Struthio camelus: one gene and its partners. The protein of the gene in region 1 purifies or fractionates together with the protein of each later gene. This does not show direct contact. Links are inferred from orthologs where the notes say so. Each region holds a gene or a part of one and is shown in the gene's direction. Other genes may lie near its edges.

The links.
Region 2: the proteins of NOP2 (region 1) and SRPK2 purify together in Homo sapiens (affinity purification with mass spectrometry; 3 studies listed by BioGRID and IntAct, with this or other methods). This does not show direct contact. The link is inferred for Struthio camelus from reciprocal best matches to the Homo sapiens genes NOP2 and SRPK2.
Region 3: the proteins of NOP2 (region 1) and RPL18A purify together in Homo sapiens (affinity purification with mass spectrometry; 3 studies listed by BioGRID and IntAct, counting the BioPlex papers as one, with this or other methods). This does not show direct contact. The link is inferred for Struthio camelus from reciprocal best matches to the Homo sapiens genes NOP2 and RPL18A.
Region 4: the proteins of NOP2 (region 1) and EBNA1BP2 fractionate together in Homo sapiens (co-fractionation; 3 studies listed by BioGRID and IntAct, with this or other methods). This does not show direct contact. The link is inferred for Struthio camelus from reciprocal best matches to the Homo sapiens genes NOP2 and EBNA1BP2.

The regions. Positions count from the first base shown.
Region 1 is NC_090942.1:90,919,236-90,926,821, forward strand, and holds the start of NOP2 (28S rRNA (cytosine(4447)-C(5))-methyltransferase), read left to right. Parts: upstream 1-4,582; 5' UTR 4,583-4,668; coding exon 4,669-4,774; intron 4,775-4,854; coding exon 4,855-4,900; intron 4,901-4,979; coding exon 4,980-5,038; intron 5,039-5,581; coding exon 5,582-5,841; intron 5,842-6,149; coding exon 6,150-6,193; intron 6,194-6,351; coding exon 6,352-6,512; intron 6,513-7,297; coding exon 7,298-7,497; intron 7,498-7,586. Other genes in the region: CHD4 (chromodomain-helicase-DNA-binding protein 4), read left to right, coding at 167-276, 580-712, 953-1,030, 1,146-1,283, 1,372-1,480, 1,807-1,939, 2,919-3,114, 3,228-3,403 and 1 more. UniProt on the Homo sapiens protein: S-adenosyl-L-methionine-dependent methyltransferase that specifically methylates the C(5) position of cytosine 4447 in 28S rRNA. Required for efficient rRNA processing and 60S ribosomal subunit biogenesis.
Region 2 is NC_090942.1:15,421,527-15,428,790, reverse strand, and holds the start of SRPK2 (SRSF protein kinase 2), read left to right. Parts: upstream 1-4,262; 5' UTR 4,263-4,317; coding exon of another isoform or gene 4,318-4,333; intron 4,334-4,451; coding exon of another isoform or gene 4,452-4,536; intron 4,537-5,050; exon of another isoform or gene 5,051-6,022; intron 6,023-7,264. UniProt on the Homo sapiens protein: Serine/arginine-rich protein-specific kinase which specifically phosphorylates its substrates at serine residues located in regions rich in arginine/serine dipeptides, known as RS domains and is involved in the phosphorylation of SR splicing factors and the regulation of splicing.
Region 3 is NC_090942.1:38,551,957-38,558,856, reverse strand, and holds the start of RPL18A (large ribosomal subunit protein eL20), read left to right. Parts: upstream 1-3,898; 5' UTR 3,899-4,020; coding exon 4,021-4,038; intron 4,039-4,451; coding exon 4,452-4,631; intron 4,632-5,238; coding exon 5,239-5,368; intron 5,369-5,991; exon of another isoform or gene 5,992-6,123; intron 6,124-6,806; coding exon 6,807-6,900.
Region 4 is NC_090949.1:25,306,423-25,313,358, reverse strand, and holds the start of EBNA1BP2 (probable rRNA-processing protein EBP2), read left to right. Parts: upstream 1-3,925; 5' UTR 3,926-4,003; coding exon 4,004-4,087; intron 4,088-4,185; coding exon 4,186-4,269; intron 4,270-4,926; coding exon 4,927-5,093; intron 5,094-6,206; coding exon 6,207-6,330; intron 6,331-6,906; coding exon 6,907-6,936. Other genes in the region: CFAP57 (cilia- and flagella-associated protein 57), read right to left, coding at 502-709, 875-1,161, 3,307-3,629, 3,704-3,860. UniProt on the Homo sapiens protein: Required for the processing of the 27S pre-rRNA.

The DNA.
Region 1 (7,586 bases):
TGGGCAGGAAAGGGGTTTCCTCTTGAGTGATGTTGGTCCCATTTGGATGGGCCTAATCTCTGGGAGTGAAGGAGATGTGTGCTTGGTTACAGTGAGGGGAAGACTTTACTGATGGCTTCTCTCCTTCTCTTGTGCGCCGTGCTGCTCTGGGGTGGGGAATACACAGAAGAGGGAATAAAGGTAGAAGAAGGAGCAAACACCAAGGAGCAAGGAGAGGCAACTGAACCAGAGAAAGAGCTCAATGCCTCTGCTACTGAAACAGAGGTTCCTATGGAGGTGAGTGCTCAGTTGCTTGTTTGTCTCATGCAATTCCAAATATCTCTACTTCTGCCTTACTTTACTGTGTAATAAAGCTTCTGTGGCAGAGCTGAGTTCTGCCTAGGACAACACTGAAAGCTAACTCTCAGGTCCTTAGAAGAACTGGCCTGACAGTTTTGTGTATCTTCCCCTTGGTCTGCTTTGTAAGACACTTTCCAAACTGCTTTGACTGTCTTCTGTTGATAGTGCTGAAGTAGTTCACTGGCTTTGACCATATGCTGCTTTGCTTCTCTTCTCATTGATGATTTCTGTCCTAAGCAGTGTGCTCAGCCTGTGGAGACACCACCGCAGGAAGCAAAATCTCCAGTGAACCCTGCAGAGGCAGATGAAAAAAAATTAGAGGAACCAGAAGTGAAGGAAAGACCAGATGAGCCCATGGAAGTGGAAAGCAAAGGTATCTCTAGGAAGGCTAAGACCCTTAACAGCAATTAAAAAAAAAAAAAAAAAAATCACAAGTAGTATCTTCAAGCTACTCTTCCCTGCCTCAATACTTCACCCTAAAGAAACAGGCATGTGTAGATAATCAAGGGGGCTATTTCAGGGCTTTGAGCAGGGAGGCAGGGAAGTGTTAGGTTTCACAGGCTGAATTCTTGGACTTGCCAGCTACATCTCATGTTCCCCTCCTTTTCTGTAGCTGATGTGGAGAAAGTGGAAGACAGAGCATCTGTTGAGCCACCCCCTGAACCTCCTATAATCACTCTGGATGAGAAAGGTGAGCTATGATGATTCCATTCTTTTCTTTATCCCCTCTCCAGCAAGGGTTCCTTGTGGGTCCAACTTGCTGTGGTATCTGCCATATCCTTCCTAATTGTTTCCTATGTGTACAGAAGAGAAAAGGGATGATGATAAGAGAGACGTGGTGATGCTGCAGAATGGAGAGATGCTGAAAGAGTCAGTAGATGAAAGGCACAAGAAGGCAGTAAAGCAGCGCTTCATGTTCAACATAGCTGATGGTGGCTTTACTGGTATGAGACCTGTATGTGCTTGAACTTATTTACCTGCCTCTGCTTGTCTTGGTGAAATAATAACTTGGAACTCTTCTTGCCTTTCCAGAATTACACTCCCTGTGGCAGAATGAAGAGCGGGCTGCGACTGTTACAAAGAAGACCTATGAGATCTGGCATCGGCGTCATGACTACTGGCTCCTTGCTGGGATTATCAAGTATCCTTACCCTGACAGACGAGCTGTCTCCCCTTCAGAATAAGCCCTCATTGTGAAGAGGCAACCCCTTTGGGTCTGCCTGGGACACGTTAAGTGAGAGCGCACTTTATCTTTCACAAGAGTCCTGGCTTGGTGGGAGGAGGGGTTTTCTGTCAGCACAGTTAAGACTTGGTGAGCAGGATGCTGCTCTTACTGCTTTTCCTTTGCCCTTGTTTCCCCTCTTCTCTGCACCTCCTTTCCCCACCCCTCTTAAGAACTGTATCTGCCTGGGCTGTGCATTCCCTTGTTCTCACTGCCTTTGTTTGCCTGAGCTCATCCCATCTCAGTCATGGCTATGCCCGTTGGCAAGATATTCAGAATGATCCACGTTACGCCATCCTCAATGAACCCTTCAAGGGTGAGATGAACAGGGGCAACTTCCTGGAAATAAAGAACAAGTTCTTGGCAAGGAGATTTAAGGTAAGGCTCTCTGCTCAGTGTGACAAGTCTTTCAGCCAGCTGGACCCCTGAGAGCAAGACAAACTGTCCTGTTGAGCTCGGTGTTCTGATTTTCCACTTAGATGAAGGCTTTTGCAATCTTTTGTGTTGATGGCTAAAAAGAGCAATATTTGTTAGGATCCTATGGTAGCTTCATGATAGGAGCACTTTACCCTAGAAGCAGCATGTTGGGGAGCTTGGTTCAGCGCTCTCTAAATGTTTCTTCAGCAACTGGCATTCAGGAGGTGTTAGTGTCTGTTTCCACCACAGCTTCTGCTTGGTGTGCTACAGCCCACTCAATATGCCTAAGTAGAACTTGGAAACATTGTATAACATTGGATTGGTGAAAGGGCTGCCTTCAGTCTCTGCCTAAAGTACTTGTGAGTGACCATAGTTTCATTCTGGAGGTGATTTGGGAGCAACCCGTGTAATTCTGAATGAATATTTTGCCCTGAGATTCAGTGTAGTTTGGCTTATCTGCTTTGCACCGTCTAATCTGATATCTTCAAATGTCCCTGTCTGGCATGCTTAACAATTTTTAGACTCTTACTGTAAGTAGTTCGGGATACTTCAGTTCAAGAAGAAAGCTCCATCCCCATTGCCCTGTACAGAAAGAGTTTTTAAAAAAAAAAAAAAAATTTCTGCTGTATTTTGAAAAGCCTTTAAGAATCAGTCATGTAAGCAGAGGAGTAAGAATCCTGGAAGACTTGCTTATTTTTGTTATTAAATGGGCTAGGACATGCCCTGTTTTTCTTACCTGGCTTAGCTTAATGGAGCCTTTGTTTTGTAATATTTAGCCTTTATGCCAATATAAGCAGAAGCCTGGGAAATGAGGTTTACCTGCCGAATCTCACCTCATGAGAGTGGGGAACTGGAACAGGAGGCAGCAAGTGAAGGGTGCAAATAGCCTGCTTTTCAGGCAAATGCTGGAAGACTTTACTACTTACCCTGTCTGTTGCAGCTCCTGGAGCAAGCACTGGTGATTGAGGAGCAGCTGCGGCGAGCTGCCTATCTGAACATGTCGGAAGACCCATCTCACCCTTCTATGGCTCTGAATACACGTTTTGCAGAGGTGGAATGCCTGGCTGAGAGCCACCAGCACCTATCCAAGGAGTCAATGGCTGGGAATAAACCGGCGAATGCTGTGCTGCACAAAGGTGATAGCGTGTTAAGCAAGGGTGGATATTTGTTTAGTATTGCTGTCCCCTTTGGCCTCTTCCCCAGGCAGGGGCAATTTCTCTCTTTGAACCCAAGCCTCTTTTTCTTCCAGTTCTGAAGCAGCTGGAGGAGCTTTTGAGTGATATGAAGGCAGATGTGACTCGTTTGCCTGCCACCATTGCCCGTATCCCACCTGTGGCAGTGCGCCTCCAGATGTCAGAGCGCAACATCCTCAGCCGACTAGCCAACCGCAGCAGTGAACCCCCTCCACCACCACCTCCCCAGCAAGTAAGTACTCTCTCTGAGTGAGCAGCCCTGCCTGGCTTGTCTATTGTATGGAGGAGTAGGGGCTCTGTAGGGAGCTGCCCTCGTGAGCTAGGGTATATTGACGAGTATTGTGTCTCAGATGGCATTGTCTTTTGCCCTACAGGTGGCCCAGCAGCAATGAGTCCCTGGCCCAGTGCTGTTGACCTTTTGGCCAAGCTGAAGTGACCCACCCCTTCACACTCTACCCCTCTGCCTGACATTCCTGACTGGGTGCTGTTTCCCTCCATGGAAGCTGCTCTACAGGTCTCTGGGAGAAGGAACTCCTTCTGCAGCCAGCTGTTGGAGGAAAGAGTGTGCTTAGGAGAGAGGGGGATGTATGATGGACTCTGTATATAGTGACTGGAGGCCACAGCGCCCTGTCTGTTACATGGAGAACCTGGCTGTGTTGCTCGCTGCCTCGGCCTGGAATTCCAGTTTTTGTTTTTAATTTTATTTTGAGTTTGTTTACTGAGATGAGTGCACAGGTGAGACCAAGCAAAAGCCAGGACAGAGACAAAGCTACCTCCATCAAAATCCTTTTTAATACAAAAACTGACTGGACTTGTCCACTAATAAGCAGCTTGAAGGAAGGAGAGAAAAAAAAAAAAAAGGAAAATCTTGATAGGACTGAAAAATAAAGTTTCCTTGTATTTTATTTTATTGCCTCTAATTTAGCTTTTCTGGAGAATGCTAGATGACCAAGAGTGACCAGCTGGCTCACTCCCTCTCCCTGTATTATTATCAGCAAACTACTGCTGCTCTTGTCCTGTTGCCCTGTAAAAAGCAGGGCTTCTAGTATGCTACACCTTTCTTGCATTGGCACTGACCCCTCTTGCTGTTGCCTGACGCTTTAGTCATTTCCTAGAATTTCACTTGGGTCTTTGTCATTACAACCTAAAGCCTACGCCTGGTGAAGCTTGAACCGTCTACCGTTCCCCTGACGCTTGCAGCCCGCATACCTCTGCCGCTCCCGGCCGCGGGCGGCGCCTGCGCCCGGCCGAGCCCGGGCCACGCCACGCGCGGGGGCGGGGCCGGGGGCCGCTGCCGTCACAGGCTGGGCCGGCGCTCAGCCACTCGGCGAGCGGCGGAAGCGGTGACCAACCAATGAGCTGGGCTGCCCGCCCCGGGGCAGGGGGCGGAGCCGCGGCTCGGCGCGTGCGCGGCCGGGGCCGGGTGGGGGCAGGGCGGCACGTGCGGCGGCGGCGGGGGAGCGCGGAGCCGGCTGCGCCACCCGCGGCCGCGCCGCCATGGGGCGGAAGCTGGACCCCGCGCGGAAGGAGAAGCGCGGCCCTGGGCGCAAGGCCCGCAAGCAGCGCGGGGCCGAGGTGGAGCTGGCCCGCTTCCTGCCGCCAGGTGAGCCCGGCCCGGCCTGGGGGCGCCCGGGCAGCGCCGTCCCGGGGCCGCCGACCTAACGGCGCTTCTCCCTCCCGCAGAGGCAGAGCCCGGCCGGAGGAAGCTGTCCAGCCACGGGCGCAGGAGGTGAGGGCGGCGGCGGGGGAGGGCGCGGGGCTGGCTCGGGGCCGGGCGCCGCTGACGGCCGCTTCCCCTCCCGCTGCAGGGCTGCGAAGAGGCGGCGGGCGGCGGGCGAGGAGCGGCGCGGGGGGCGGGAGCCCGGAGGTGAGTGCGGGGCCCCGGCGGGCTGCCCCGCTTCAAGCCAGTCTTTCCACTGAGTTCCACCACCTGCTCTCCGATGCAGCGGGGAGCGCCTTTAGCAAAGGAGAAATCGGTAAAAAGCCCCCCTCTTCTGTGCGTTAGCCTCTTTCTGCCTTTTATTCCGCTCGCGTCGTGGGTATCGTAAGCACCTTGGGGCGCTGAGGCTTTTAAGCGTGCTGCGTTAAATCACGTGCGTCCGAGTAAGCTCTCACGGCGGGAAGAAGGGATAAACACAGATTTGAGAAATAGGGCTGCTGCGGTATGTCAGGACAGGCACTAAAAAGACTTAGTAGCTGTATTTTTCTTTGGCAATTCTAGTCGTTTCTTTTTCGGGTTTGGTTGGGGGGGGATCTTTGTGCTTGAGCAAACCAGTATGGGGAGCAGTCTCTTCTCTTAGACAAGCAGCTCCGGGCTAGAGTGAAGGAGGCTGCTTTGCATAACAAGTCAAAAACTGGGAGAGCTGTCATATAAAATACTGCCTAACTTAACTGCTTATTCTGCCTGCAGTTAAGGAGCAGGTATCCCCATCGAAGGAGAAACACCCCAAAAAGGTAGTAGCGCAACCCCATCGTTGCCAGTCTGGCTTCAGCGATGGCAATTCAAAATGGCTGACTCCAGCCAAAGCCAAGAAAATCCAGTCTGAAGACAACAACGTGGAGTCATCCAGTGATGATGAGGTGGAAGAGGGCACCTGGGAGATGGAGGAGGATGGGAGCAGCGAGGAGATGGTCGATGATTATGGTGCCTCTTCCTCTGAGGAAGAAGAGGTATGAGCTTTTTGCCCTCGATTTTGCAGAAGAAACTTGGCTTTGCTGGCTGTAAGGACCCAGCAGCCCTGGTGGGGAAAGGGTAACTTTACTGGAAGGCTGGATGGCGAGGTGGAGAACAGCTTTATCCTTCTTCCCTTCACAAGAAGGGAATTTTAAGTTAGCAACTGGTCTCAGCAGAACACTCAATGCCTTCATCTGTTGTTCTTTTTAAACAGAGCAGGTATATTTCATAGAGATGGCACAGATTAAAGGGGTAGTTGATACTAGCTGATACTGTTTCATTAATATTTTGTCTCTCTGTTTAGTTGCTGCCCATTGAAAAAGCCGCCCTGAAGCAGAAATCTGATAGGTGAGGATTTGAGAGCGTCAGGGGTCAGCACAGTCTTTCCTGGTTGGAACACGAGGAGCCTGGGTTGTTCGTTCTTCTGTCATCCAAGAGATGATAGTTGTAAAGTGTCTGAGGAGTCCTGCTATTGTGTAAAAAAACTATATTTTTTTTATACCTAGGGGAGGCCTTAGTGAAGATGACAGTGAAGAGGAAGAGGTGGCAGAAGAGGCAGGCAGGCAGAAGAAGGAGCAGAAGGAAGAAGAGAGTGCGGATCTGCAGCTCAATCTGGATGTAGATGAGCAGTTCAAATTGCCAACTGATGAACAGATTGAGAGAGAGAATATCCTTTTCATCTGTGGCCTCTGTAAACCACGTAGCTGTGCCACTACAGAGCTTGAGTGCAACTGTAGAGCTTCATTTACATTTTATTATGAGCGTTGGTGCCTGACAAGCCGTTTTTAGTTGAATTGCCCTAACAGATAGTGGTAGCTATGTGGTTCTACACCTCTGTACAGCACGGTCAGGGAACCTGTTATTCCCTGTATGGAGCCTGGACCTTGCCCTCAATCTTTTTTTCCAGTCCTAAATGCATGTGGGTGTCTATCGCATAGTTAATTCCCTTCTACCTGGATTCCTGGGTATGTGTTTGTCTAACTCATTCTTAGAGCCTCTGATGACAGCAATTCCAGCATCCAAAGCGCGTGTTCTTGGGCTTAAGTGATCTTTTTCACCTCTTTCTTCTCTACTCTCTCTAATTGCTTCTGGAGAACTTTTAGTCTCCTTTGCGTTACAGGAAATGTTTTCAGTATTGAAAAGCCTTTTCCACGTGTCTTCTTCCCACCCCTTTTCTGCTTTTCTAGACTAACCAAACCGAATTTTTGCAAATACCTTATTTTCCCTGCCTTGTGCGCTTCCTTATCTGGTTGCTATCCTTTGAATCTCCCTTCTGCCTAACTCCAGTGAAAGCGTAGCAAACGATACATGGTAGATGTGCACACTCCAGTAAGGCCTTTCTGGTGCAGGTGCTGTATGCAGTGACTCAGGAGTTTTGCATGACTGGCTGTGCTTTTGAAGGGCCTGCGTGTGAATTCCTTGGTCGTTTACAATTCTTAATGGTCCTTCTACCTGCTGAGCCGCCTGACCTGCACATCATTCACCAGCGCATCAAGAGCAACATGGAGGTGCTGCAGGACTTTGGGGTGAAGCGAGAGGAAGGACGCACGCGACAGGAGTACCTTGCATTGCTGCGCCGGGACATGGCTGCTTACTATTCCTACAGTGACTTCTTGCTCAAGAAGCTCATGGACATCTTCCCACTTCCTGAGGTAGGATGCTGCCCAGCCCATATCTTTACTGACTGGTGGGGATTTGGCTGCCTCCCTAGAACTTCGTTTTTACCTGAAGTTCTCTGGCC
Region 2 (7,264 bases), about 75 Mb from region 1:
CTCTTGTTTGTTTCCATTCTGTGCGAGAGCAGCATGAAATTGGCCAATATCCTGATTTCTAAGAAAGTGCAGTTCAGGGAGCGTGCCACCACACACTGGGAAAAGTAATGCTGAAATGAACTGGTACATAAATCAGAACTCCAGGGCAGCAGCTTCTAACATCTCTCTGCTCAAGGAAGAGTTTTGTATTATTCTCAGAAAGCAGACAATATGATATTTATAGGATTGCTGCTAGGTTATTTTTTTATTCTGTACAAATGTATTTCACTCATGTCTGAAAATTGAATGCCTCTTTGTATAAGTGAAGTGTTTTAAAGTTAGGTGAAAAGGAAACGAAGCACACATCTAGCAGGTATCAAATGTCTGGTTCAAACTACATTATAAACAGGTAAAAATATAATCTCATAATTTGACATTTTCTCCTGCCTCCCCCCTAATATTTGTACCGAAGATCATCTATACCTGCTGCTGCTGCTGCTGCTGCTGCTGTTGTTCCTCCTGTTGGGGCAGTCATATGACTAAACCTCACCGTGCCCTTCCCCGGAGTGAATGAGCTCTATGGTAATCCTTATAATTAAACAGGCACCTGTTCCAATATTATGTTCAGGGAGAGACAGCCAGACCCAAATACATTCTGTCCCAGTCCATTGTCTTTAATTTATATTGTTTATTTATAAAAGCCTTCTTTCACTATTCAGGATATCCTCTCTCTTGACTCATTGTTGATTTTTGAAACAGTTAAGTATATATATAATATATATAATAAGACATAATGAAATAAGAATGGAGAACTCCACTGAAATGAGTGAATTCGAATAGATATAATGCAGGGTACGTTTATTCTTAATGACCACTCTCTGTATTTTTTGAAATGGAGTCCCTTCCCTTTAGTCTCCCTTCTTTATTTTTGTCAAACGTAGACTGATCCAGTGAATACTTTATCACATTAACCTTATTCATGTGAGCAGCTTGTTTGCCTTCGCTGAAAGTACCTTTACTAAGGTTTTCATAATTAAGACAAAAACCTGAGTCTTTCATTCTCTTTCGAATTGCTTCACAAATTGCAAGCTCAAAGGGAATTACAGCATATTTTTAAAGAAATATGAATCTGAAAAAATACACAAATCTATAAAATGAGGTGGTTTAACATACCTCACATTATTCCATTAAATATTTGACCCTGAACTTTCACTCCCTGCTTGGGTCCTCTGGAATATGCATAAGCCAGGAATATGCATAAGCCACACTCTCAGAGTCTGAGAAATACAGTTTCCTGGTTTTCAAAATATGTTTAGCTTCTACTAACCTTAATTTACTCTCCAGTTTAGTTAACTGCACATGGTAAGCCTCTATACGTACATATGGAGTCTCAGTGAGTTTTTTGCACTTCTGTGTGAGCATCGTCTAAGAGGCTCTTCTGAAAAAAAAGAAAAAGCAGGAAGAATACAGTCCAGAAATATATGTCCATTGGAATGGAAAGATATTGACTGTGTGGAATACACCCACCTGATCCTAACGTAATTCCTTCCCTCGGCGCTAGCAGATTGTTCCCTCACCCTGATTAGGTTGCTGACATTATGTTGCCTGTGAGGGAAATTCCTTCCTGACTCCAGATTTGGCAAATTTATAACCCTGTTGACGTAAGCAAAGCTCACTGATGTTATCTAAGACCTAATTGTCCAATCAGTTCTACATACAAATCTCCTATTGAAGTAAATAGAATTACACATGAGTAGCTGAAAAGACGTTCGGGACCCTGATACGATTTCCACTCCATAGCCATGGCTACAAGATCGCTTTCAGCCAACACTGCCACTGAAAAAGAAAAAAGTAGTCTCACCATTTTCTCCACCAACCGCTGCTTGTTTCTAGCATCTTCTATAGAGGCACAAGTATTTGTGCAGCAGCACAATGAACCAATGAAGCTAAAAATAGCCTGGACAAAAAGGGGAGATATGTAATCTGCTTTTCAACATTCAAATACTATTAATTTTCATGCATCTACATTTTCTGAGCAGAAAGCCTTCGCAATTTCAGTACAGCCTTCTGTTGCCTGATCTATCGGACTGACTACATTGCTGTGCTATCATATTGAACTGGACTAACCACAGAAAGGGAGACATGCAGCATGCTAACATTACATGTTACACAATAATAGATTCTACTGGAAATGTTTTTTTTCCTGTGATCTTCTATGATGGAGGATGCAAAACAAAAACTGTTTTGATTTAGAAATGCAGCTGTGGTGCATCATGACAGTTGTAGCTTAGGAGCTTTGTGGTCCTATTGTTTTCTGTCTGTTAGGCTCTCCAGTCGGACAGAAAGTATTATATATTGTGGTATGTCTGAGTTGTCTGGCTTTATATGGAACCTGCTAGGAAGGAATGGATGCTATCTTTCTGTTCCTGTCCTGTTACTAAGCTGAACTGACTGCAGCCAGGGATTCAATTATTCTGTCTAGCTGAAACCTTTATGATCCAATTACATAAGACTAGTGATCGCTGCCCGTTACCTTCACTCATCATACCTTGACCACATCTCCTCTGAGATCTTCATCCTTGTGGATTCTTTCTCTTGGCATTTAGGGAGGAAGGTGTGCCATCAAAATGTAATAACTGCCCACTGTTACCTTTCTGTCATTATGCCTTTGAATTCCAGTCTTACACGGAGATAAAGGAGAAGCTAGACGACTGGAGTTTTCAGTATGGCCCAGATCATCTTCTGCATCAAGCAGAATTTATAGACTACACAAAATCTCCAAATCCTAACACTATTCAAATGTAGCTATGCAATGCAAAGCACAAATAAGAAGTGGCAATTTTCAACAGGTCATGACTAGGCCAAATCTGAATAGAACCTGGTATCATGAGCAGCAAGACACTGTATTTCTGTTACGATCTGCAGAGAGAAAAAAAAAAAAGTAGAGTTAAATAACTGTCAGTGATGCCAATCAACGAACTTAGAACCAGAATTAAGGACATCTAATTTCTCTGGCTTTATGTCATGAGGGTAATTGGTTCTGGCATGTAACCCTACAGTTTCGTGATAAGCTAAAGCTGATCCAGCTTCAGGCGGCTGCCAAAAGGGCAGATCGACACTTCCGCTCCCACTAGGCTTTTCTCCTTCTCTTTTGTCCACTCTGAGCAATTACGCAGCAATGGGGGAGGGAGGGGGGATCAGCTTGCTATCCCAATTGCAAACTAGTATTTTTTGGGGTTGGCAGAATTAGTTTTCATTTGGTTCACTGAAGTGGTAGAACTCACCGCACAGATACCCCGGTGAGGGGCCTGGGCCCACGTAAGGGGCAAAAGCAGAGCAGTTGATGGGAGAGCAAGAATGTCCCCGTGGGTAGCGGTATAACCTTACGTACAAGGTGTGAGTACCTGCTCTGCAAGTACGAGTAGTATCTTTTCCCTTTATCAGGTCCTCTATTTCCTAAAATCTCCAAGAAGACAATTTCTTTGAAAACCTTATCAAACGGGATTGAAATCAGCTAGGGGCTTTGACAGCTATTCAGCAGGAACTGGCAGCATAACTCTCATTGCGTGGGAAAGCCAGGTTAAGAGCGGGAAGAAGCTCTTGTACGAGGAGGAGTTGAGCGCCGGGCGCCGTTCTCCTGCGGAAAGCACTTGCACTCCTCGGGCAACAGCACAGCCCAGGCAGAGGCGGCAGGCTGGGCTGACCAAGGGGAAGAGCGTCATCACCCCGTGCTTGAATGCATCCCCCTTTTCTGTATATATATATATATATGTATATATAATATATACATATATATATATATTTTAATACACAGGGGAGTAGTATTTTACATAAATAAGCCCCCAGCGAACTGCTTGCAGAATCGCTTGGTGAGACGCGACGGAGCCCAACAGGTTCCAAGTTAAGGGCCGGTCACGCCAGGTAAAGGCCTCGGGTCCTCGTCCTCGCCGGGCGCCAGCCAAGAGGCGCCCCGGGGCCCGCGGGTTCACCGGCGGCCCCAGGCCCGGCACCGACCTGCCCCGCCCGCTCAGAAAGGGGGGGGGGCGGCGGCGGCGGCGGGGGGCGCTGCGGGCCGCCAGGTGCGCTCCCGCCGGGCCCGCGCCGCCACCTGCCGCCGCCCCGCCCCCGCCCTTCCGGCCGCGGCCCCGCCGGCAGAGCTGCGCCTGCGCAGTAGCCGGTCGGGGAAGGGTTTGCGGGGGGGAGGTGCCGCCGCTTTGCCGGCCGGTGCCCGGCGCGCGGACGCGGCTGGCGCGCGGTGGCGGCGCGCGGACGCGGCGCGGCGGGAGGGGCGGGGCGAGCGGTGCGCGCGCGGAGGAGCGCGCGGCGCGGCGCGAGGCGATGAGCTCGCGCAAAGGTACCGGGCCGGCCGGCGGGTCCCGCGGGGCGGGAGCGAGGGGAGGGCAGCGCAGCGCAGCGCAGCGCAGCGCGCCGGCCGCTAACCCCGCGCTCTCCTCCTTCTCTTCTCCCCGCAGTGCTGGCCCTGCAGGCCCGCAGGCGGCGGCCCAAGCAGCCCGCGGCGGCCGGCAGGAGGGACAAGCACCCGCCGCCGCACAAAAAGTGAGTACGGAGAGCCCGGACCCGGCGGGACGGAGCCTCCCCCACCCGCTCAGCGCCCGCCCGCTCCTCCCCAGACGGAGCCTTCCCCTCGGCCGCCGTTAACGTTGTCCGCCCCCCCCCCCCGGCTAGGATCCCTGTCTCGCCGCCGCCGCGGGGCGAGCCCACCCCCCCCCCCTCCGCGGGACACGCGCCGCTCACGCTTCTCCCGCCGGCGGCGGTTTCTTTCCCTCCCGTTTTTTGCCCGCCCGCTCCCTTTCCCGGTAACGTCTCTCAGGTTTTGCTTCCCCCCCCACCGCCCCCCCGGCTGGTTCCCCCCGCCGAGACAGGCGGCAGCTCTCCCGGCGGAGCCGCCCCCTCCCCCCGCTCCGTCTCCACAGAAGCCCTGTGGCCGTTACCCCTCCCCCCGCGCCGCCGCGCGCCGCCCCCCCCCCGCCCCCCCCGCCGTCGGGTGTGCGGGACACCCGGCTCGGCCCCCTCGGGGAAGGCCTCCCTGGCTCGCCCTGCTGGCACAGACCTGCCTTCCTGCCCCGAGGGAAACCTGCTCTGAGGCACTCCTGTGTCCTCTTCCCAAGAGCGCTGCGATACTTTTCTCCTAGGGCTTCTGAGAAACCTGCGTTTGTTCGGGGATGTGCACAGGCTTGGTCTTTGTCGCCATCACCTCTCGTGTCCCTTTCAAACTGCCCCTGGACTTCTCTCGCCCTAGCGGTCTTCCTTCTCTCGTGGTGCTTTTTGTTCTGTGATTTCTCTCTTGCTTTACTGGTATCGTCCTGTCTATAGACAATCCTTTTCTTAGTTATCCCCCTAACAGCCCTATATACCGTTCCTGTTCTACACTTTCTACTTGGTGCTTTGAGATTATTTCCTGTTTCCACATGTATCTCACTGCCTGGGAATTCTTCCGCTAGTGCTTCTTCTAGGTGAAGCTCTTTCTCCTGTGAGCGCTCCTGCCCTCTGTGACTTCATGTCTTTTTAAAATCTCTTCCGGCTTGCAGAAACTGACTTCTAATAACTGTCTGTTTTTTCCTCTTTTTTTCCTGGTAACGCTTCATCATCTTGTCACTGTCCTGTTCGTTTTTTCTCATTCTCACAATAGCCATTTTCACTGAAACGTTTGTTTTCCCGTCTCTGTATGCTCATGCTTGAACTGCGTTTTCCTAGGAGTCCTTATTAGGACACTGTGGCCTTGGACTTGCTTTACTTTTTGTTCTCACAGGATTATGTGTTTTTCCTTCATTAACTTTTACTGTGTTCTGTTCAGTGAGACTTTATTGCCATGATACCTCATCTAGACTCTTGTCTTTGTTTTTGTACCTTGGGGATCTAGTCTGACTACTTTACTCTGACAGGGAGATTTGTTCCACAGATGTTCCTCATCTCGCTGTCTTCTTAGTCTGCCAGTCTTAAATCTAGGAAGCTGGACATGATGGACAGATGTGTATTTATAGGTGATGGGGTAAAGATGTTGTTATGTGTCACAATAAATTATTCCAGGGGTGATTTTTTCTTCTTTTTGATTTCTGTAGAAAGAAATAAAAGCACTCCTCTCCCTCTGTCCTGTGTGGGGTTTTTTTTTTTTTTTTGGTAATAAGATTCCCCCCCCCCCCTTGAGGTATGTAAAAATAATATAGGATGAAATGAAATTCTATGGTGGTCGTCATCAGATTTTGACAGTTAACTTTCATCCACACCCTGCCTGCTACTGCTGTTTCCTCCAGTGTTGTATGAAAGCTTTGTTGTGCTTTCAGTTGTGCTTTCAGTTATATGAATTTGTTACTATTGTGAAGGAAACAAATTTTGCATACAAGATGCACAGTATGATTAGATTAGTTCCATTGTTTCCAAAAGCCTTCAGAAAGTCAGTTTGTAATATTGCGTGGATGTGTTTAGCCACTTTGAAAACAGAAAAATCTCAGATTTTATTATAACTCTAGATTCTGAATTGTATTTGTAGCTTTCAGTTGAATCTTAACCACAAGATTATTAATACCTTACTGTTTCAGTTATATGATAGAGTGTTCGATATGTTTCTAACCAGGGTTGCCTTGGGATGTCTTGCTGAATGAGGTCGTTAGAAGTTTGCTTTAACAGACACAAAACTGGTATTCTCTTCCAGTTTGCTGAAGAAACTGGCTACTGTTAAGTCAGGGTGCACAGTCAGTAGCTGGCTTTTTGCCATACTGAGTCGGCATTTCCAGATGCAATGGCCCAATCTGTTCAGTTGCCCTCGGGAAACAGTGGTTTTGCTGCCGTAGACAATGGCGCCATCGTTTCTTTGCTACTACATATTATTCTTTTCTCTTCAACCCCCTTTTATGCTATCTAGACCTTTTTATACTTCTTGGGTAACTCTTTCAAAATTTTACATCTCCTTGCATATGGTTAAATAGCTTTACTTTGTGGGCCAAAACTAGTATTGGACATTATTTTAGAAAATAACCTCAGCAGAAGTAGCCCTTTTTTTCTGCTGTTTCCAGCCTTGCTTTAAATCCAACTGCTACAGCATATGCTAGTATGTTATAGAACTGTATATCATCTGTGATGCACGTTAAATATGCAGTAGTTGCAAATGAAAATGTTGATTTAAGGAGCGGAAGTTCTACAACATAAGATCTTGTTTCACAGTTTTGAATCCAAAGCTTTTTTTTTTTCCCTGTAGCTTGTAGGAAGACCCTTGTCTGTTGAGTCATAGCTTTACAGAGCAACTTCCATTGTTGCTGGCAACAATGTG
Region 3 (6,900 bases), about 52 Mb from region 1:
ATATACGCTACATAAGCGCATTTAAAGTTTGATCTTCCACCACATGCTCTGTTCTAAGAGTTTCAGTTGGCTAGTCAACTCTAGAAGATAGTTAACGAAACAGCCATCTCAGAAGATCACTTCAAATACCATAACTCAATTAAAAAAAAAACAAGCTTTATTTAAAAATAGCTTCAACTAACATTAAGTAACATTAAGAATTAATATATAGCTGTGTAGAAAGTATGAAGTCTCATTTATGCGGAGTTGTTTTGCTCTTTGTTTTTAAACTGGTACACTATGTTTAGTAGTGATCTGATCTTACTACAAGTAGCAGAGCACGGTCCTTTACAGCAAGGTCATACAGGTATACATTCCTCTCACTAACACAGTCTATTCCCTTTCAAGTATCAAATACTTAAAAGGGCAGAGACCGCTTACAGGAAAAAGCTGCAGCAGCTTCTTCCTGGAACTCACGACCAAACTTCTATATGAAAGCAGCATTTTATACTTGCCTGGACTCCAAGAAGGTACACATTCATAGAAGTAATCTACTCAGGGACTATTTTATATTTTGCACAAGAAAATGGTGATTCAGAATCCATACCGAATTATCATGACAGGAAAAATATGAATTGAACTTCAAAAAAATATTCCCCCTCCCCTCCCAAGAGGAAGGTACAACGAAAGTGGTCACACTTCAAGTAGGAAGTACTGCTATTGCAAAAATACTAACACGGTCAGGGGTATGTAGACATGCCTTAACAATGAAAGCTTTCACAGCATTTTGACTATAGATGTTAATGGTTAGAACAATTAGTATTTAAAGAATCTCATTTACAGCACTGTTTTAGTCATATAGAACATTCTGATAGCACACAGGAAGCCAGCTACATACTTCATTTTGATTCCCTTAAATTTTCTCCCTAGTAAAATAAATAAAGTAAAAGATCATCTCTTGCATTCTTTTGAAGCTTGCCACAAGTCTTGAATATATTTACATCCTCTTAGGATCTGAAACCTTTACAATTACGTATACAAAGCATACTTAAAAGGAACATCTCTGTAATGGTTACTTATCAAACTTTTAAACTGGACTAGAAAGTTCTTCCTTTGGGGAGTAACAGATTAGGTCTTGATTTCAGGCATACTCTTACTGGCCAGAAATTCTCTGCGAGGACTCAAGTCTTCTTGCTCCCTCAAATTGTTCTTTAGAAGAGCCAAATCTCCGAAGGGCTCAAAAGCTCAGCCAGCGGAGATGATCGGGCACGCACATCCCACGGCTTCCAGCTCCGCAGCGAAGACACCAGAGCTGTAACTTAAACCTCTTCAATCCCTTCCTGGGGTCACGGCAGAGTGACAAAGCACTCCTCCTACGGCGTGCCGCCGCTGCAGCGCTGGGCGGCCGCGCACGCCGCTGCCTTTCAGCGTGCTGAGAGCAGCTGAGCAGGCAGGTACGTGGGCAGGGCCCTCCCCTCACGCTGCAGTTTAACAGCTTACGGCCACTTTCTCCCTCACCACAGGTATAAGAAGCAGGACACCGACCGAGACAGCTTCCGCACCAGCGTGCGTGCAAGAGCCCTGTAAGCTAAAGCTTAAGTAGAAAAGAAAAAGCCTGGTATTTTTGAGAAGAACCAGCCCCCCCACCCCCCCACCCCCAGCCCTGGCCGCCTCACAGCGATGCGGCAGGCCCGGGGCGGGGGGGTCGGGCAGCCAGGCAAGGCTGCGGCGCCCCCCTCCCCGCTTCCCTAACGGCTGCGGCGGCGGCGTCGGGCGGAGGCGAACCGGTAGGGCGGCTCGGGAGAGCCCGGCGCCAGCCAGGCAAGCGGCGGCGCCACCGCCCTGCCCGCCCCCCCGCGCCGGGCTGAGTCACCCCCTCACCGCGCGCCCCCCACCCCGGCCGTTACCTTCCCGGTCACTCCGCCATCACGGCGGCGCTGCCGGCTCCGACCCCCGCAGCTCCGAGGCCGCCACGAGCATAGGGAGCGGGCCAGGCCGCGCCGCCTCGGTTGGCGGCGAGAGAAGGAGGAGGCGGAGGCGGCCCGAGGGGAGGCGCCGCCGCCGCCCTCGCGCGTGCGAAACGGCCGCCCCGGGAAAGAAAAACGCCCCCACCCTTTGAGCCCGCCCGCCAGCAGCGGGGCGGCTAGCCACGCCGTCGGACTACAACTCCCGGCGTGCTCTGCGGCCCCCCCTCCGCGCCTGCGCGAAAAGGAGGGGCCAGCCACCCGACAAGGCAGCGACGAAGCTTTCCGCACTCACCTCCCCTCTGCCACCCGGCTGCGGGCCGCAGAGCATGCCGGGTTATACCGCCTCCCTGGCCGCGCGGCGGCCCCGCCCCGCCCCGCCCCGCCGCGGGGCCCCTCGGGAAAGCAGGGGCGGAGGCGGCCCGGCCCGCCCGAAGCGCGGGCAGCGGCTGCTAATGGCTGCTAATTACGCTCAGGCAGGCACGAAGGCAGCGTGGCGCCAGCTTCACCCACCGCTTTGGCTAGGCAGGATGCCATCGGCGAGGCGGGCAGGTGCAAGGTGGAAGTATTTTATGCGCACCCAAGAGGCACCGTGTATCTATCAAAAATGTATTTTTTCCCCTAAAACACGCTTTACCCGCTAGTCGTTAAAGATGAAGTTTTAACAGATAGCTACGAGATAGTCCTGCGTGTGGCTGTAAAGTCGCTTAATCGTAAATCAAGACTCATCTGCTCCATCCAGAAGCTCACTCTAGATCTTGAAGTTTTGTTTCGTTCTCCCTCCTTTGTATGTCATCAGCAATAAAGCTGAAAGTATTAGTAGCTGGTCATGTCACTGCATGTTAAGCTAAGACACAACATATTCCTTTGAAATGATGTTAGCATCCTAATTCTGACCAGAATAACTCGTTCAATAACTGGCACAAAAAGGGCCTAAGCTCCCATCCTACAAAAGCACCAGCACACACTCATCTTTAAGCAGACGAAGAATGCAACGGATCTGACTGCTACTAATGTCACATTGGTCTCTTTTCTGCAAATTTTTGTGCCACCATCAAATTTAGGAGTGTTTTAGCATGATTAAACGGGTGCATGTTTGTAAAATGAGACTTAAAAGAACAAACACAAAAGAAGTGCAGTAATAAGCATTTAGGAAATTATTTGCCTCGCCAGAGCAGTTTGTATTGTTAATAGTCTCTTTCAAGAAAAAAGAAAAGTTCCAAAGCTATGGAAGGACAATTTTCAAAACCATAGCCCACACAACATTTAAGGAGAGACCCTTACCCATCGTTACTGCAGAGCCATTTCTAATTAACAGTACACAGGAGTACAACCATTCAGGAAAAACTATAGGGAAAAGATACCACGTCAAAAACAAACCATAAAATATGGTAAACGATACCATACTAAAACATCATAAAAATATAAGATTGTAGCGCTGTTAGGGAATTCACATTCACTGCAGCTTGCAACCTCATTCTCTCACGGGATCGCCGGCCAAGGGCCACCTCTGGGCGCCGTGACCTGCTGCCTCCCCTGCCTCTCACGACGGCAGCACGGGGGGAGGCAGGACGTGAGTCACCTGCCCGCCTCGGACGCGGACACGCGCAACACGTGTTCGTGCCAAACCGGGCGACGGATCCGCCAAAAAAGTCATCGCCACCAAAAATCCAGCAGTGCCGAAGGGCACGGGGCGGCCCTGCGCGGGGCACGGCAACGGGGCAAGCCCACGCGCCGAGAGCCGCGCGCACCCGCGGCCGCCCTGACAAGGCGAGAGGGCCGCAGGGCTGCGCGGGGGTGGGGGAAGGGGGAAGGGAAGGACGAGGCCCCGCGGGCCCGGCGACCTCCCGCCGCCGCCGCCGCCGCCTCTCCGGCCACGCGGGCCCCCCGGCTCGCCCCGGAAGCAGCGCCGGGCGGCCGCTCGCGCAGACTGACGGCTGCCTCGCCCAATCACGCTCTGCCCGCAGCCAATGGGCGGAGAGGGTGCCGCGGGGGCGGGGCCTCCCGCGGGCGGGTGGAGGGACGCTCCTGCGCGTTAGCTCTTTCCTTTTCTGGGGGCCGCCGAGGAGGCAGCACCATGAAGGCGTCGGGCACCGTGAGTGAGGCCCCGCGGCCCGGGCGCGCCGCTGGTGGGGTCGCGGCGGCTGTCGGGAGCGCGGTGGCGAGGCCTTGCGGCGCTGGAGCAGGGCCTCCGGGGGCCGCGGCCCGGCCCGGAGGCGAGCAGCCAACATGGCGGCGGCGCCGCTCCTAGCCGGCGTGTGAGGAGGCCGCGGCGCCTCTGGCCGGGGATCGCGGCCCGGGCGGGCGGTTCCGCTCCGCTCCTCTTAGCGGGAGCCGGTGGCCTCTATCCTCGGCGGTCCCCCCTTGCTCCCGCGGCTGCGTTCTCGGGCGGAGGCGCGGCGCCTTGCGGGGGGCAGAGTGGGCCGGCGCGGGGGTCGCTCCGTCGCGGCGCTGTGGCGGGCGGCGAGCAGGAGGTTCACTGCGGCGCTGTCTCTCGTCCCCCTGCAGCTGCGGGAGTACAAGGTGGTCGGGCGCTGCCTGCCCACGCCGAAATGCCGGACTCCGCCTCTCTACCGGATGCGGATCTTCGCCCCCAACCATGTTGTCGCCAAATCCCGGTTCTGGTATTTCGTTTCCCAGCTGAAGAAGATGAAGAAGTCTTCTGGAGAGATTGTGTACTGTGGCCAGGTACGACATAGAAAAACCTGACACTCTTGGAGGCTTTTCAGGAATTCTGGCTCGTTTACGTAGAAGGCATTTAGATGAAATACTGTTACTAATGAAGTCGAACTCTTTTTTACCTTCAGCTACTGTGAAGCTGGGCAGCCCCCTGCAAGTGATTGCATGTGTCAAATGAACTAAAAAACTTAAATTCACAACATTCAGAATTCTGCTAAAATAGATCACTACTGCAGGTAGTGCTGTTGTCTGTTTTTTATGGTTGCTTCATTATGGCATATATCTCTTAGGAACCATCTGGACCTTCATAATCTTTGGAAAATAGATACTTGCTTGCATATACTCTCACATTTTGTTGCTTGGAGAACGTTCTTTTCCGTTTCCTTCAAAGATGATTTAACAGCTGAAATCTAAATGTATTTTTTCATTTCCACATTGAATTACCAGAGACTTCCCTGTACTATGATGGTATGGGGAAAGAGAGCAAATAGTTGTCTTGGACATTAAAGCTATCTGTATTGCTTTACATTACAGCTGTAACATGTTTATTCCTAAACTTGTAAAATGCTGATAATGTACTGTCTCTAACCATTTCTGTGCCCTTGTGTAATTCCAGGTATATGAGAAGTCCCCTCTGCGGGTAAAAAACTTTGGTATTTGGCTACGCTATGATTCTCGTAGTGGAACTCACAACATGTACAGGGAGTACAGGGATTTGACCACAGCTGGTGCTGTCACTCAGTGCTGTAAGTACATATAACCATTTGAGATAAAATGTTAGGACCGGTTTACGAGCAAAAGTTTAAATCCTAAACTGGTCGTAAAGCTTAAGTAGGAGTGCTGACTTGATCCATGATAAGGTAGCTTAAACACTGGAAAAATAAAGTGGTGGGAAGCTGCTGGAGAAACCCATAGATGTGTAGGTATAATGTATGTAGTATTTTGTTCGTTAGCACTCCTTAGGCAATTTCTGTAGCTGAAAATATTCCCACTTGATCTCGGTGTGACTCTTTACAGTTCTAATCATCAATTTTGCTATATAGGTGAAGAGTTTTGAGACTGTTAGGGGCTGTATATATTTCTTGTATTATACTTACTGTTAAAAATAATCAAAAATATTTTTCCAAGTCTTTTGAAAAGATTATTGCTGATACTATGTGGAACATACTAGGATCTGGCTTCTGGAGAGCTAGGTTTCCTAAACACTGTTTTTTCCCTAATTTGCATTGCTCAAAGATCTAGTAGTCTCAGTTCAGAGAGCATCACGGGTTGCTCTGATTTTTAGTCTGTTATCTAAAGGAGTTGAGAGAGAGATCATTTTTATAGCTGAGGCTGTTGACATTTGAATTCAGTGTTCAAAACACTGTAAAATGCACACAAAAACCCAAAGAATATTGTTCCCAGTAATGATGTTCTTGTCATGTGTGCAAATATTATATGTATCTTGTCGCCTTTCAACAGCTGAAGTGCTATTGAAAGTGAAATTTAAGGTTCTACATGTAACTTATAATACGTTCTTTTAATTAACATACTGTAGGACTACTTAAGAGGTCTGAGAACCTACTTAATTTGTCATTACGTAATGACTTTGATACCTTTATGCTCCAGACTGCTTTTGAAGGATAGGTTTTTAATGGGTGTTTTGCATCTTCACAGGAAGTACTGTAAGCTCAAGAATATTTAGCTAGCCATGTCTTATGTGCAAAATAGCTATTGACGTTGTGGTTTTAAGGTAGTGATTAAAAAAACAAAGCTAGGAACTGCAGTTCTCTTTCCTTGCATCTGCCTCTTGGAAGGCGAAGGGAGCGTTTGTTGAAATTCAGTTCTTATTTTTCCTGTAATGATATTTCAGTATTGATTCTGAATCACCATTTTCTTTTGCAAAACATAACAAGTCCCTGAGTAGATTACTTCTGTAAATGTGTACCTTCTTGAAATCGGGCAAGAATAAAATGACGTTCACGTAGAAGCTTGGTCATACGTTCCAGGAAGAAGCTGCTGCTGCTGCATGTTGATTCTCCGGTCAGTGCTTCAGACATCACTGACTAATAATACTCTTTCTGATATGCGGAGTTGCCTGAAAATTTGGAAAGTGGTGGACACAAAAAGATGGTATTAAAATTTTGAACTGGGAATGTCTTAAGTCATTTTAGGATTTATTTTTAATGAGTTCGGTTGTTACAGATCGTGATATGGGAGCCCGTCATCGTGCCCGTGCTCACTCTATTCAGATCATGAAAGTTGAGGAAATTGCTGCTAGCAAGTGCCGTAGACCAGC
Region 4 (6,936 bases), on another chromosome or scaffold:
CACAGAGTTAAGTGATCTCATCCAGGCAATTCAGTAAGTAAATGCTCTCTCTATAGAACAGTTAGAAATCGTGCTAGATTACTTAATCTGTTAAGAGTGCATAAGTGTCATTACAGTTATAATAAAAAGGATTTGAGGGGAAATAAGCTTTGCCCTGGAAAAAAACAAGCAGCCCAGTCCTTCAGAACTGATGTTCTGCTCAACAGAAAAAGAAAAAATCCTTAAAGGTTTCCTGAAGTTCAGCTAACTCAAAGCCCATTTCTCATGTGGGAACATGCAGAGCTACCTTGCAAAAGGTCAACTGTCATTGACTTTCAGCGAGACCTCTGACAGGTCACTTTGTTTCCGCACCACTAGGACAGTTAGCTAATGCTTATAGTGTGCTTTAAAGATGTGCTAAAATTTATTATTGATAACTGAATCAGAAGCAAAAAGGAAGAGGCCTCAGGTGCGTAACCGTTTGGAAAAGCTTTTCTCCCCCCTTCATAGACAGTCACCTACCCAGATTTCCTGACTCTCCTTGTAGACTTCCTTTTCCTCAGTCTTCTCAAACAGAAGAACAACCCCCGGGCTAGATGAACATGCAAAGCCTTTGGAATAAGCTGCAACTGCACGTATTTGAGGCAAAGAATCCTGCTGTGAGCCATTATCATCAGAGAGCAGATCACAAGAGATATCAGAAGAATCGTAAGCAGGAAATGCAGTAAGACTTAAGAGGAATAAAAAAGGACAAAGCAAAACAAAAATTCATATCAGCAGCAACCAAAATATTATAACCAATTCATAAAATGGACAAAAAGGAAATAAATGAAAGACCTGCAAGTAATTTTCATGCACAAGCATGAATCTACTAGTAATGGCCGCAAAGACTTACCTCCCAGGTTCTTTTGTTGTTGCATCTTCTTCTGCTTCCCTGGGTGGTATTTTGTACTCAACACTTGTCTCCCAGCGCACCTCTCCACTTTCAAATATGATAAGTTTGCCTGTGTCAGTGCCACATACAACCTTCTCCGCAGACAGCCAGGCATGGCATAGGTAGTTTTGCGGCTCTCCCTTTTGTAAATTCGTTGCCTTCAAAGTTCCTTCACTACATCTAAAAAGTTTAAAAATGCCATTTCCAGTGATACAAACCTGTGCATTGTCTTGAGGACTGAAGCTCACCTGTGGAACAGAGGAGAGAGAAATTATTTCATTCGACTATGTACACTCTCAGAGCTTTAAAAGCAAATAAGCAAATATAACACCTGTTCCAAAGACTTCAGATATCAGAAACAGGAAGACAAGCTAGGAAAAAAGGTTCACAGAAAGAGACAAAAGAGACTAAGAAATAACCACCATTACTACATACTGTAGTTTTCTTCTTTTCCAAACTAAGTGTACCAATTTTACACAGAATGTTATAAATAAATTCTATTAAGGTAAGAAGCCAGATGAGGCCATCTGAATCACAATGTAGTATGGAAGAGGAAGTAGATTCTGCCCTTGGGATCAAATGACAGAAGTAAGGCCAAAATACATCTTTCCAGCTGACCAGCAAGTTTCTCAGGTTGCAGGCTATTCATTCTTAAAGGCCACATGGAATTTCTGTATCTCAGGAGAGGCAACTCTTATCCATTACACATATTAATTTGCATAATTAGGTGTTTATTGGTGAAAACAGAGGAGCAGCCGTCTCAACATCTAATATGAAAAGATAGCAGGGGTAGAGAGACCTAGGTTTTCATGCTTAATGGGACTTTAGACAGCAGTGATCTCCTCTTCATTTTCTCCTAGTCATTTTTCCTAGTCATTTTCTCCTCTGCAGGAATGGAGCTCATGAAGTTAGTATTTCACCCAATCTCTGCTTGTAGTTGTACCTCAACCATTCTGTGATTCTGTGATGTGTTAGGCCTACTGAGCATGGCCAATATATTTAATGGGTGTTCCTGCAGGGACACAACAAACAAACTGCATATACGCGGATCAGCTGTACAGCCCACATACCACAGATCTCGTGTGATTTAGGAACGTGGACGTCCATAACGGGTCAATGCAAAAATCCATTTAGCTCAGCATCCTATTGCTGAGAAAGGCCAATAGCAGATGCCAAGAAAGGCTATGGAAACTGTACATAATCTACAGTGCAGATCCCTCTCCTCCCTCTCAGGCCCTAGAAAGAAGCTAAATGACAACGGGAAAACTCAGGACCCCTTGATCTAAACAAATACCAGTTTCTAGGTCAGTAATTATATTATGCTTATCTGTCAGAATGAGACCGGACATAGGACTTAGCTGAGTTGTTTTTTAGTTAGAAATTATCTTCCAAATCTTTAGAAGCTTGAAGGATACTCTGACTGGTGACAGAATAATACACTTTGCACTTATTCTTCAGACTGATGTAATTTCCACATGTTATAGTGGAATATTTAAGGGGCTGTTGATCTCAATTCTCTTGGCTGATTTGTTGTCTACAAGAAACTTTGTTCATTTTTAGAGTGCTAATTTGTGGCTGTTCTAGCTCCCCTTTTTAGAATCCCAAAAGCCTAGAGTAATTTAGGGTAGAAGGGACCTCTGGACGTCATCTGGTCCAACTCTCACCTCAGAGGAGGTCTTACTGGATCAGGCCACTCAGAGCCGCGTCCAGTCAAGTTGTGAGTATCTCCAAGGACAGAGACAGTACATCTCTCTGGGCTGTTTTCAAGTGCTCCACCACCCTCACTGTGATTTTTTTCTGCCTTGATATCCAGGAAGGAATTTCTCGGTTAAGCAGCTTGTGACCATTGCCTCTAATTATTTTGCTGTGCATATCTGTGAGCAACCTGTCTCCGTCTTCTTTACAATTCCCCCACTGGGAAGCTGGTGATAGCAATTAGCCTTTTCTAGGCAACCCCCACCCCCAGCTCCCTCAGCCCCTCTTTATAGGTCAAGTGCTCTCGTCCTTGCGCTCGTGGCAACTCTGAGCTGGTTGTGGTATCTGTAGTAAGCCCTTATTCTTTCTCTAGGTTGTCTTTTATCTGTATCATGACAATTTTTGAGTGCTGCTACCTGGCATGTGGTACTTCTTAATCTGAAATTTCAACTTTTTTCCCCTCCATTTTGAAATGGTGCAAAAGGCTCCCTTGGGCCAACTGCCAAAAGAATCAGTCATCTGTGAATCACAAGATTATGAATGAGTGGCGGAAACCCTTCCAGAACAGCCCAGCATTGCAGCGACTCGGTTTTAAAAACAGACTTGCGTGCATCCCCTGTCTCCCAGAGCGGACGGGGGGAAGCTGGGAAGAGGCCCCGGGCCTGGCAGCGCCCCGATGCGAGGGCCGCAGCCGTTACCTGGCAGAGGCTGCCGTCCGGGGCCTTGATGCGGATGGCCGCCATCAGCCGCTGCTTCTCCCAGAGCCAGTAGGCGAGGTGCACCTCGGGGGGGCCGGTGGCGGCCGCCAGGTAGCGGGAGTCGGGGGAGAAGGCCAGGGACACGAACTCCTGCACCGGGAGCTCGGCGGCGGCGGCGGCCAGCGTCCTCCGCCGCCGCGACGGCACCAACGACACCTCGTGCACCGTCACGGCCGGCTGCTCCGCCACCGTCTCCGAGATGGCCAGGTACCGCCGGTTGGGGCTGATGGCCATCGCCTGCATGCCCTGGCTCTTCTCGGAGCCTGCGGGGAGGAGAGGGGTCAGGGCGGCGGCAGGGCCCGGCCGGCGGCAGGGCCGGGGCCGGGGCCGGGGCCACCTGGGATGAACTTCTGCCACTTCTGCTCGATGTGGAACTGGACGCAGTTGGCCCCCGCCGCGTACAGCAGGATCTGCTCGTCGAAGAAGCAGAGGCCGCCGGCGACCTGCGAGCGGCAGCCGAAGATGGCCACGGGCTGCGCCACCACCACCGACATGCTGCCGCCGCCGCCGCCGCCGCCGCCGCCGCCGCCGTCGCCACGGCAACCGCGGCCCCGGCCCCGGCCCCGCCGGAAGCGGCGGCGTGCGCGCGCGCGGCCGGAAGCGGCGGCGGCTCCGCGTGGTGGGGGGCGGCGGCGGCATGATGGCGCGGCGCGGCTCGCTCTCGGACGCGGCGTGGGACTCGGACTCGGCGTCGGAGGGCTCCGCTCTCTCGGACTCGGAGGTGACCCGCGGGCGGGCAGCGCCGCCGCGAGGGCGCGGGGCAGCGCCGGCCGGGGGGGACCCGGCGGCGGCGGCGTCTGACTGCTCTCCTCCCCGCAGCTCCAGGAGGCGTTTTCGAGGGGCGCCCTGAAGCCGGGGCTCAACGTGGTGCTGGAGGGGCGGCCGCGGGCGCCCAACGACGTGGTGAGCGGCCCGGGGCCTCGGCGGGGCGCCCGGGGGTGGGGCCGGGCCGGGGCCTGCTTCCCCTGGCGGGGGGCGTTGGGCGCAGCGCCGCGGTGGGGAGGGGGCAGAGCGAGTCGGGGGGCGGCCGGGGCCGGGGGGCCGAGGTGGCCGGGCCCCGGCCCCGGCCCGGCGAGAGCCGGGCTGCCCTGGCTGGGCGAGGTGGCCGCAGCTGGAGTTACGTGAAGCGCAGCTACAGAGTCGAGGGAGCCAAGTGTCCCTTGTTTGCAGCAGGGCGTGCGGGAGGGCATGGGGGTCGCACCTTGTGGCTTGGGAAGTTCAGGTTGGGTGTTAGGACAGAATTCTGCACCTGGAAATGGTGCAGGGCTTCAAAGAGTTACTCAGGAGTGTGTTGTAATCTCCATCCTTGGAAGCCTGCAAGACTTGGATGGATAAAGCCAAAGTTGACCCAATCTGCTGTTGGTTTTGGTCCTGCTTCAAGTGGGATTTGGACTATATAGTCTCCAGAGTGCCTTCCAACCAGCATTGCTGTGATAATTTGGGGTACAACCCTACTGCCGTTGAGGACTAGCCCATTTTGTGGCCTGGGTGTTCATTTGTGCCAACCTTGAAAAGTTTGTTTTGTGCCTTGATATTGAGAGCTGTGCTTCCTTTTCGTAGGATGGTTTGAAGCTGTGCCTCTCTGAATTCAAGCGGCAGCTAGCTTGGGTGGAAAGGCTGGATGTGACTTTGGGTCCAGTAACAGATGTCACAGGTCCAGTCTCACACAGTGCTTCTGACAAAGATGCTGTTGACCCTGAGAATGACTTCCAGAGAGAGATGAGCTTGTAAGCGTAAAAAAAAAAGAGATTTCTTGTAGGGTTTCAGCATACTACTACAAGCTCGGAATCCCTTGCCTGTACGCAGTTCTGGTATTGCTTCACTGTCATGTTTCACAGTATCCTGCAGGCTGCTGTACTGGCTGTCGCTGGTATCTTGTCGCTTCTGCTCTGTGTTGTGTGCCACAGCATGCTTTGTAGCACTGATGCATTGTGTGTGTGACAATTTGAGTGAAACACTGAAGCTTGAAATCTCACCTCTTTGTTTTCAGCAACTCGGCTTTACTGTATCACTTAAAAGTAAGAATGCTAATTTTTAATTAAAAAGGCTAATTTTTAATTAAATAAAATAAAATTAAAAATTAAAGTAGTTTTATCTTGCCAAAATTTAACTAGAAAACTACTTCATTAATATTAAATAGTCATATAATATTAAATATTTAGGCTCCTAGATTTCTAGAGTGTTTTCTAACCTGCTCAGTGGTCTTGGATTGAAGCTGCAGTTGTTTGTTGTAGGAATTCTTGAGCAACCTATGTAACAATATCATTCAAGATGCCTTAATTTCAAGGATACTAGAATGTGGGTCCAAAAACACTGTAGGTTATGCAAGTATTTTATATTTGATAGTGCTGAATTTTTGGCAAAATAACTACAAATGGATGCTTTTATGTTTCACTTGTCTTGTGATGGGAAAAAATTCCCTTCCTTGCAGCAAACTCTTCATCATTTGTTGGAGATTTTCTTTAAAAAGTTCCTGTGCTGCAGCACTATGGATATGAATTTTTCTGCATGAATGTGTTATGGCAGTTTTCTCTCTCTCTCTCTCTCTCTCTCTCTCTCTCTCAATTTCTCCTCTCCCCTCCTGGTACAATACAGTGTGTAAAACTGTAATTGAAAACTGGATAAACTGTAAGTGCAAGCTATCAATGTTAACATTGTATTGGCACCTAAATTGCTTTTAGTAGTAGTGGTGCGGTAGGGTACAGAATGTTGCTATAACTCTGGGATATAACAAATATTTATCTAGTATCAACTAGCTGATATGATCAGAATTTCTGTCACTGTTGTGAGATATTCTTGCTACTCAGCGACGTTCAGCTGGTGTTGCGTTGTCTTTCTAGTTACCGACAGGCTCAGGCCGCAGTCCTGGATGCCCTACCAAGGTTGCGTAAGCTCCAGGTTCCTACTAGAAGGCCAGATGATTATTTTGCAGAGATGGCCAAATCTGACCAACAGATGCAGAAGGTATGTGGTTTAAATGATTATTTTCTTTCCTGTGTTATAGATTGGTTTTAGCTTGTGTTGGGTAACTAACTTTGAGGTTTGATTGTGTTCACTTAATAATTACCTTCATGTCTGTGGCAAAGGCCTGTGACAATGTTTGCGTTTGGAATTTGTTCTGTGGTTGTTTAAGTATCCCTTTGGAACGGGGGTGTTTCCGTAACAGGCTGGAAAATAAGGTAGAAGAGTGTAATTTGTAGTCTCTCCTAAGTGTAACTAATACTAAAAATACTTTTTCTCCATGTATGTGAGAGTGCTTGTAAAGTCAGCTGTGTTTGTGCTCTTTGCCCTAAGATTTGCAGTCAACTGTGGCATTAACGTGTGATCTCTTTTCCCAGTTTAAGTCTCACTCTTCATTTATGCTCGGTGTATTTTGATTCTTAGTGATTTTAAACTCTATGTAATTGAACTAATTTATCATGGGTAGTAAGTGGGATTTGGTAGTAGTTTTGTTGTAAGAGGGTTGCACAGCCATCATAAAGTACTCATATTTTCCTTTGCATTACTGACTCATTTTGTTTTTTTTAACCTCCTAAAAAGATTCGACAGAAGCTTAAGAGTAAACAGGAA